2 linked regions of the Callithrix jacchus genome follow. The protein of the gene in region 2 purifies or fractionates together with the protein of the main gene of each other region. This does not show direct contact. Links are inferred from orthologs where the notes say so. Each region holds a gene or a part of one and is shown on either strand. Other genes may lie near its edges.

The links.
Region 1: the proteins of GLS (region 2) and SIRT5 purify together in Homo sapiens (affinity purification with western blotting; 3 studies listed by BioGRID and IntAct, with this or other methods). This does not show direct contact. The link is inferred for Callithrix jacchus from reciprocal best matches to the Homo sapiens genes GLS and SIRT5.

The regions. Positions count from the first base shown.
Region 1 is NC_133505.1:17,071,352-17,076,446, reverse strand, and holds part of SIRT5 (NAD-dependent protein deacylase sirtuin-5, mitochondrial), read left to right. Parts: intron 1-1,561; coding exon 1,562-1,649; intron 1,650-3,108; coding exon 3,109-3,162; intron 3,163-4,264; exon of another isoform or gene 4,265-5,084; coding exon 5,085-5,095. UniProt on the Homo sapiens protein: NAD-dependent lysine demalonylase, desuccinylase and deglutarylase that specifically removes malonyl, succinyl and glutaryl groups on target proteins.
Region 2 is NC_133507.1:37,843,493-37,848,587, forward strand, and holds part of GLS (glutaminase kidney isoform, mitochondrial), read right to left. Parts: intron 3,584-5,095; coding exon 3,522-3,583; intron 2,585-3,521; coding exon 2,508-2,584; intron 2,414-2,507; coding exon 2,350-2,413; intron 1-2,349. UniProt on the Homo sapiens protein: Catalyzes the first reaction in the primary pathway for the renal catabolism of glutamine. Plays a role in maintaining acid-base homeostasis. Regulates the levels of the neurotransmitter glutamate, the main excitatory neurotransmitter in the brain.

The sequences.
Region 1 (5,095 bases), on a different chromosome or scaffold from region 2:
TGGATGGGTCTGTGTTTTCCATGCAGTTTCACGCTCTGTACCTCAGGAGATGGATGATGCAGCCTTTCTTGAGAGAATGCCCCTCTGTTACAGCTGGGATTCTCATCCAAGCTTCTGACACACACTCCACAGGTGCGCTATTGAGCCTTTCATGCTCTTACCAAACGGTGTCAGTGGAAAGGCTGTAGACACAGCCAGAACTTGCTTTCCTCCCGGAAGTGGCCCTTGAATGGTTTGTTGGTGGAAGTATCCAGAGGTTGTATCTGCCCGGTCAGGCCACGGAGAATAACAACCAAGTCACCCCACTTTTCAGTGTTCTCCTTCAACAAGTCTGTGCAAGCATGTTGGTGAGGTCACACTCTCATCTGGCCAGTAAACGGTAGGACATCTGAATTTCAGAGATGTGAAAATGGGAAAAAAATGTCCACAGTAAAACTGACAAAATAGGTTTATTGGCTCACAAAACTGAGGGGCCTTGGGGTGCAGCTGATGTCATCTTTTCTTCTGGCCTCTTTCCCACTCCTTCTCTCAGCTTTGCTCTCTCTTTGAGGTGACCTCCCTTTTCCCTCTGCAACTGATTTGCCTCCACGTGCCAGGGGAGAGGGCCTCTGGTTTCAGGCTCTCCAGCTCAGCCAACTGCTCAGAAAATAAACCTCTGGGTGGGCTTTCTTGGTCCGCACACCCACCCTTCTGACCAAATGAGACTGCAAAGGGATGGCCACCACATGGGACCTGTGTGGAGCATGTGGTCAAGCTTGTATTTGGGATGTGACCCACAGCCCGATTGGCTCAGCATGGGAGAGAGCAGGGATGGTACTCCCCAAGGAAGGACTGGTGGGCAGAACAGAGCAGTGCATGCCCTCTGTGGTTTAAAGTGCTCTGCATGGCACCCGGTGCCTGGCCACCATTTCACAAACTGTGGCCACCATGATAGCTTCAGTTCAATAAGTGGTGGCTAGTATTAACAATTACTTTTTTCATTTATTAGTTGATTACTTATTTATTGATCTGCTTTTGTATAAAAGATTCAGGCTTTCTGAAATCAAAGTTAAGATTTTGTAAACATACCCCACACCATTGAAACTTTATCAGTCATATCAGTAAATTATGCCCTTAGATTTAGGTCAAGCTCCCTCTACCCTGTTGGCCACTTCTGCCCACTTGAACGCCACTCCAAGGTCATCCGGCCGCACATTAGTCAGGGAGATAGCTATTTATCCTCCAGATTATAAAGTCCTTGAGGGCATATGCTCTTGACTGGCTTAAGAGTACTGCATGCCTCTCTGTTTCCCGTGAAAGCTAGGGGAGGCCCATTTGCTAAACTGAAGTATGTCTCAGTGGGGCAGTGCACACCTATAGTCCCAGCTACTCAGGAGGCAAGGTGGGAGGATTGCTTGAGCCCAGGAGCTGGAAGCTGCAGTGAGCTGTGATCGTACTACTACACTCCAGCCTGGGTAACTGGATAAGACCAAAAATGAAATAAAGTATGTCCCTTTTAGACACGGAGACAGTTGCTCTTGATTATCCTAAATTCTGGACTTGCTTCATATGTATTTTTCAGGTAGCTTATTTAAAACTCGATGTACCTCTTGTGGAGTTGTGGCTGAGAATTACAGGAGTCCAATTTGTCCAGCTTTATCAGGAAGAGGGTAATTATACCACACTATAGAATAAGTATATGTTGTTTTCTCCTTTAGGTTGAATATAAATGTGAGGAAATTGAACATTTACCAAAGATTCCCATGGGTATTTATGAGAAATAAGACTAAATACAAGGCTGGATGCAGTGGCTTATGCCTGTAATCCCAGAACTTTGGGAGGCCAAGGTGTGAGGATTGCTTGAGTTCAGGAGTTCAGGACCAGCCTGGGCAACATAGTGAGACACCTGTCTCTACCAAAAAAAAAAAAAAAAATACAAAAATTAACTGGGTGTGGTGGCACATGCCTGTAGTCCCAGCTACTAAGGAAGCTGAGGTGGTTGGGTTATTTGAGCCTGGGAAGTTGAGGCTGCAGTGAGCCGAGATCTTGCCACTGGACTACAGCCTGGGTGACAGAGGGAGATTCTGTCTCAAAAAACAAAAAACAAAAAAGACTAAATATAGCCATGTGATAAAAGAAATATTTTGCTCACAACTTACAGTGTTAAGTGAAAACCACAGGGTCCTGAACTTGTATAATATGATCCTAGCTTTGTATTAAAACACACACACACATACACACACACACACACTCTCTCTCTCTCTCTCTCTCTCTCTCTTTCTCTCACACATACACACAATGAGTTTGTATATGTGTATATAGTTAAAATACAACAAAATGTTAATAAGGAATATCAGGAGTGGTGGGATTATGGGTAATTTTTAATTTCTTTATATTTTTCTGAATTTTCTTACATTTCTATGATGAACATGTGCTATTATTACAATGAGGAAAAAAATTGAGGGTAGACCCAATATTGAGAAAATTCCACTGAGTCATTTTAAAATAGTGTAAACTGTGTATGACTGTATGATGTGATTGAGGATACAAACGATGGTGATGTGTGAAGGTCAACGTGAAGCTCCCTGAGTACACCCAGCCACTCTAGCCCTCCCCACACATGCATTCCCTCACTTGCAGGACAACCACTGGTGATTTTTTTTTTTTTCTGAGACAGACTCTTGCTCTGTTTCCCAGGCTAGAATACAGTGGTACAATCACAGCTTACTGCAGCCTCTACCTCGTGGGCTCAAGCAATCCTCCTGCCTTAGCCTCCCAAGTAGCTGGGACTACTGGCACGCACCACCACACTGAGCCAATTTTTGTATTTCTGGTAGAGACGGAGTCTCACTATGTTGCCCAGGCTGGTCTTGAACTTCTGGCCTCAAGCAGTCTTCCCACTTTAGCCTCCTAAAGTGCTGGGATTCTAGGCATGAGCCTCTATGCCCAGCACCACTGGAAATTAATGGCTTGGGGACCTTCCTTCTAATGTCCTTCCAAGTGAGCATGTATTACTTAGGAGTTTTATATCACATATTGCCAGGCAAATATACAAACTGAGTTACTTTATTTCTTTATTTTTTGATTATGCCAATAACAATCTTTCTTGTCTAATATGATTTACTTCAGTGCTCCAGAACCTGGAACTCAAGATGCCAACATCCCAGTTGAGAAACTTCCCCGGTAGGTAAAAAACTCTGATTTGTACTAGTGTTCCAGGTTACAAAAAAAAATAGACATCGAAACCTAAACATGCATTTGGCAAGATGCCTCCTAAACCAAGTGCACAGACGTAAAAACTAGCCTTGACCTCTGAGACCAAAAGTGAAAGCGCAAAGGATGAACCAAGTCAGGATGAAAAGAATGATTTCTCTCCAACCCCTTTTTGCTTTGTGTTCTGGCGGGTTCATTTGAGGTCGGGGAAGTTTCTGAAGCTGTTGTGCGACAGCTGGTTAAGCAGTGCACAGAAAGCACAGGCGCTGACCTGTGCCTGGTCAAGTAACATCACTGGCACGATTAAGCCAAAGGACCTGAATAGGAGACGTTACAGGACTAGACAGAATGTTCGTAGATTAAAATAAAAAAAGGAAGATTTTTATGCCAATTTTTCAAAACCAGACATTAAAACAGCACTTCCATAATCTATAATTGGATTAGAGGGTTTTTTTTTTTTTTTTTGAGATAGAGTTTTTGCTCTTGTTACCCAGGCTGGAGTGCAATGGCGCGATCTCGGCTCACCGCAACTTCTGCGTCCTGGGTTCAGGCAATTCTCCTGCCTCAGCCTCCTGAGTAGTGGGGATTACAGGCACGCGCCACCATGCCCAGCTAATTTTTTTGTATTTTTAGTAGAGGCGGGGTTTCACCATGTTGACCAGGATGGTCTCGATCTCTCGACCTCGTGATCCACCCGCCTCAGCCTCCCAAAGTGCTAGAGGTTTTTTTTTTTTTTTTGAGATGAAGTCTCACTCTGTCCCCCAGGCTGGAGTGCAGTGGTACGATATTGTCTCACTGCAACCTCCACCTCCTGGGTTCAAGCGATTCTCCTGCCTCAGCCTCCTGAGTAGCTGGGATTACAGGGGCACCCCACCATGCCCGGCTTATTTTTGTGTTTTTAAGTAGAGACGAGGTTTCACCATGTTGGCCAGGCTGGTCTCAAGCCCTTGACCTCAGGTGATCTGCCCACCTCAGCCTCCCAAAGTGCTGGGATTATAGGTGTGAGCTACCACACCTGGCCGGAGTAGAGTTTTGTTTTTTAAAGTAAAATAAAACAGCACTTCTAAAAATATTCCATAGAACATTAATTTAATGTGACATTGATGGACATTACTTGAAAAAAACATGTTAGGCACTCAAATAAATATGGAAATATTAGACTAAACCAAGTTAAAATAGGTTTGCTTTGCTGCAGGACTTTTCAGAGCATTTAATCCACATCGCTGCCTTCTAAAAAGTGGTTATAATGTGTATGTTAATACTTTGCTGGCTTTTTTAACCACAGAACCTTTCTTATTTTCCTTATGAGGGGTTTCATTGCCAAAGTTTAAAGTTTTCTTCTGAAGAAATAGGGAGATCTGGAGGATTCCTCTGATGTAGGAGATGACTATGATGAAAATGGTCTTTGGGAGGATGATTTTAGGTGTATAAAACGTGACCCCAAGGTACGAGGGAGTGAAAGATGAGAGATTTTGGTAATGGACACAGGAGAGCTGGCTACATACTGGGCCAGAGACGTGAACCTGAGACAACATGAAAGGAGGTCATTGATGAAATCGGGGATGCTTGGGGTCCAAGGCAGATCTGAGTCCAGTGTGACTCCCAGGTCTAGGGAGCTGTGAGCACAAGTGTGAGCATATTGAAGGAGAGCTTAGCTGAAACAGTGTGTCAGCGCTTTAAGTATAAACAGATAAGATAAAAAATAAGGCCAGTTTAACCTGAAGCTTCATATACAAGGCAAGTTTATATAGGCTGGGAGGGAGGGCATAGGGAATAAGAGGCATTAGAGGTGACCCATCTGGACATACTAGGTTTCGGGCAGCCCCTGGCCTCCCTCAAATCCAGCTGGGCAGACTCAGCTCAGCGTTGGCTGAAGGATCCCATTTTTCCAGGTGTGAAGAGG
Region 2 (5,095 bases):
TGAACTTTCTGCCCTCTTAATGGAATCACAATATGGAAAAAAAAGGTTTTTAAAACAGTCTCGTTTTTAAAATATTTTTTGGTAAATTTTGGTAGCCTGTTTTTAAAATCAGGTAAGTAAAACTTTACATGTATCTTTGTGTTTCTCAAACAGCTGAATTCAGTGACTTTGAATAGGCCTTCATTAGTTTAAGGAGTCAGCGGTTTCAAACAGACTTTTGAGTCATCCTCTACAGTATGTAATTATCTGTCTTTCTAGAAAAATGGAACTTCAACTGTGTGTTACCCTTTTTATAACTCTTCTTCCATGAATTAATGAGAAAAATCTAAATTTAAAAGAATACACTAATCCCAGCACTTCGGGAGGCCAAGTCGGAAGGATCACCTGAGGCCAGGAGTTCAAGACGAGAATGGCCAACATGGTGAAACCCCTCTCTACTAAAAATACAAAAATTAGCATAGCGTGGCGGCACATGCTTATAGTCCAGGTACTCAGGTGGCTGAGGCAGAAGAATTGCTTGAACCTAGGCGGTGATTCCCATGAGTGAGCTCAAGCCACTGCACTCCAGAACAAGACTCTGCCTCAAAAAAAAAAAAAAAAAAGAATATACGAATTTTGCTCAAACCAGTTTTATAATTTAAGGCAACATTGATTCTATGAAATAAAGAAGACTTGTTGAATATCTAGTTATCAAGTTAGTTACTTAGCTCACTTTTTCTTATCAGACAGGTACATCTACATTTCTAGAGGCCAATTTAGGGCAAAAAAAAAATTTACACATATACAAAGCACAGTAATTTCCAACATGTATACATAGTGTTATAGTATTTTAGTTGGGATTGTAAACGCAGAAAGAAAACTCTTCAATTTCATACTCTAGAAAGCTGGGATGGGTATTAAAATTGGGAGAAAGGGAGGACTGTCATCCTACATGAGGTTTTAGAATACTGCCAATAAAGGTCATTTTAATCATGTTTTTTTTACTATAGAAATAAAGTTAGGTAATCAGAGTGTTAGCACACTTACAAAACTGCTAACATTTGTCAGACGTTGACATAACTTTTCTGCGTTTCTTGCAAGCTGAGAGCTTAACCAACAAAACCCAAGCCCTAATTTTAAATAAGATAGTTGGCTAGGCTCAATGGCTCACACCTGTAATCCCTACCACTTTGGAGCCTGCAGTGGGAGGGCTGTTTGAGCCCAGGATTTGGAGGCCAGCCTGGGCAACATAGTAAGACTCTAACTCTACAAAAAATTTAAAAATTAGCCAGGCGTGGTGTGTGCCTGTGATTGCAGCCACTCGGGAGGTTGAAGTGGGAGAATCGCTTGAACCTGGGAAGTTAAGGCTACTGTGATCTGTGATCATGCCACTTACACTTCAGCCTGAGTGACAAGGCAAGACCCAGTCTCAAAAAACAAAAAGCTTAATAAACAGAAAGACAATATAGCTAAAGAGTAATCAACTTGCTCCAAACTGGATTACAGCTCCCGGTTCTCCGTATCAAACCACCATCAAGTATGTTTTTCCCCATTCTTCTAAACTTTTATTCTCATCACTCACGGATTTATCCACTCTACTCCAGTACATAATGTCCAAGGATACGAATACAGAGTTTACTGTACCATGTATGTGTGTAAGCTGTGTTCTTATTTCCCTGACCACTTTGTTGACAGCATTTGCTGAGGGATGAGTAGCAGTTTGCTATGCAGACCAGGAAAGAGAGAAGAGCAGACTATATTCTAGGCATATTTCTCCCACTATACATAGAGTGGCCCTTCTTTTCATTCTGTGCCTTCAATCTCATCTGTCCCCCAAGCACTGATTAAAATTTAACTTCCATGAAGCCTTCTAAAACTGATCCCAACCAAATCCAGAAATTTCAACACATTATTTCACATTATTATTAAAAACTAAATCATGCTATATAAATGTTGAATCTCTGCCAACAATCACTGGCTTCTTTGCAAATTTTGAGAGAGAACATTCAGTGTTAATTATCATCTTAAAATTTATGCTTCTCTAAAGGTTTATCTTGTCTACGCTGTGTAGTGAAAAACCCCACGAGGACAAAATTCCGATTTTCATTTCCAAAATGCCAAAACAAATTGTTTTCTTCATACAGTGTATTGACTGATAGTCAAACCTGAAAATTTCTAAAAATTCTTAGATAAGAAACAGGATATGGGAGACAGAATTACCTATCTAGCAGTAACAAGGTATATTGACTTTATAAGCTATCACGGCAGGTTCAAGAATGTCTCCGTGGGTTTAAATATTATAACCACTTGACCATTATATTCCTACGTAACAAAATACTGACATATTTAGAAGGTAACGTAAGTGCTCACCTGTCCTTGGGGAAAGGGTTTACTTTGCAGGCTTCCAGCAAAAATTTAACAACTTCAACATGACCTATACCGTCCCACCCCAGAAAAAGAAAAGCAGATTTTAGTACAATGTAGAAATTAAATGTGGAAAGAAAAGAGATGAGTAGTTTCTGTGTTACCCTCTGCAGCAGCTACATGGAGTGCTGTTCTGGAATCATAGTCCCGCTGTTCCATGTCCATAGCCGACAAAGCAAATCTGAAAATTGTAAGAACAGCTGTTCACCGTGGATTTTTAGAAAACAAATTTAACATTCACTGCATCAGTCATCTAAGGCCCTGTCAGACAGGTGCCCCATCTTTCATCAGGTTCATTGATGGGAACTACAGACCTTACGACCAGTACACAGGTGTTTTGGGTAAATGCCACTTCACCTCTCTTCCTCAGCTTTGCTTTTTTAGGTAAGATTTAAATGTTAACTACCTCTCACAAAATTGAGCTTTATTACATTATTGTTCAAAAATCAAGATTTGTGCCACAACTGGACCAAGGTTTATATCTCAGAATGGCAAGAAACTAATCACTATAATAAAGTTGTATGTTTTTACTAAGACTCCCATTCTTGAACATTTCACAGTCTACAAGTATATTAGTCAGACTTTAAAACAAGGAGGGGATGCATAGACAGTTTTCCACTTTGAAAATCAGCTGTTAAGAGGCCTTAATGGGAGCAAAAAGAAAAGGAAAGAGAAAATCAGTTACAGCTCTACACAAAAGGCCTTAAGTGTACAGCAGTGTATGGCCTTGCTAATGCTGGTATGGCCTTGCTAATGCAAGACACAACACGCCCCAGTTGCTTCTCCCCACCCCGCCCCCACACACACACCAAAGATGGGGAATGGAGGGAGAAGACATCATCCAATTCCAGTAAGCCACTGATAGTAATCAGCCAGATTCGCTGAACAGTCACTACTTGAGGAAACAGAGATACTGTCTTTTTTTCAGGAGGCAGAAAAGGACAAGATTGGACAGCAGGCCTGAGGCACTGGAAGTGCTGATATAATAAAAATTTTGTTGGGGTCATTTTTATTAAAGGGAAAAAGAAGTGAGGCTTTAACCTTAAAATGGCTGCCGGCCTGGAAGCAACTTCATAAGATATCTGTAAAGTGCATGCTAATCCATCCTGTAAACATACCTTCGAAGTGCAGACACATCTCCAGTATATGCAGCAAACAAAAGATTTATCACTGACTTTACCTGTGAAGAAAAGAAAGTTTAGGTATCCATAGGGCAAAACACATACAACGGCGACCTGTCACTGATAAGTGATTTTTATGTGCTTTGAACACTTCAGTTGAGTCATGTGCAAAAAGTTATCTCAAGTACACTTCTATAGCCAAAGAATGCACGAGTGGTATTTTCTTCTTTTAACAGTGGATTGCGAGGGAAAATTCAAGAATAAAGATACATGAGGGAAGGAATGGAATAATATTAATTGGCACAAAAGTGGAATTTTGTGAAACTTGTATCATTGGAGCAACTGAAAACTGTTTAGAAGCCTTCCCGTTCTGTATCTCTCAATATTGTGAGCAAGTTTGTATGCTGATAAAATTCACATTATTAAAAACTAAATCATGCTGTATAAATGTCTAATCCCTGCCAACAATCTCTGTCCTCAACAATCACTGGCTTCTTCGTCAATCTTTAGAGAGAACATTCAGTGTTAATTATCATCTTAAACTTTACTTCACTGGAAAGATAGCCTTTAGTTCAATGCCCAGGTGGTACAAATTGGGTTATTCCCAGAACTTACGACACTGATCTGTTTAAAAGGCTTCTAAACTCCAAAAATATTAAGTCATCTCTATTACCTGCTCCAAGATTTCAGTGTATCTACTTTTGACAGTTACCCACTTTCCTTTTCTTACAGGTAAGAGGAAAAGACTAGTTATCTGAAAAGCCACTGGATTTTGATCTGCTGTCATAAAGACTTTATCCATCCCTATCTATGAGAAATTAAACTATTGGTCATAGAATATTTGTAAATACTTCATAAATTCCCCATTTTCTCTTATACTTTGCAACTTTGACATTCATATTGATGACTCAACTGATACTGGACTCAATGGTAGAAAACAGAAGTTTAACTGGAGGAATGGAAAGTAATCCAGCTCTCCATCAACAAAACCACAGCCTGAACTGTGCTTCAAGACCTTAACCTGGACACTCTTTTCACCATGGCCTCCCCCTTCCACAACCCATGAACTTTCCAAATTAACTGGAACTGACCATTGCTGCAGTTCTCTCATTCAGCATTTTCAAAGTGTAATCTCCAGAAACTAGCCCACAAAATGGTCCACGAAAATAAGGGTCCTGTGGTTGGATATGATCTTAAAATGTTAAATCCCTCTCTTGGAGATTCATGAGCATATGAAAGGCTCTGTCAAGGTCTACAGTAAAGGAACCTAACTAGCTGAGCATACCCCCAAAATACTACTATTACTATTTGTGTTGATATAAAAAAACCTTAACCCCTTACTCCTTCAGTGCTTTAGCTTCCCTTCCAGCCATCCTTTCCTACTCCTGCCCAGCCTGTACCTATAGTTAGTCCCTACAGTCCAGAACAGTTTTCTCAATGGGGAATGGGGGTGGAGCAAAGAACTAAAAAGCATCACCCAGAATGTTCTAAAAGCATACATAAACATCTCTCCCATTTCTTGTTGTCCTACTCCTATACCTCAATTTGATACATTTTAGGGAAAGGAAGTA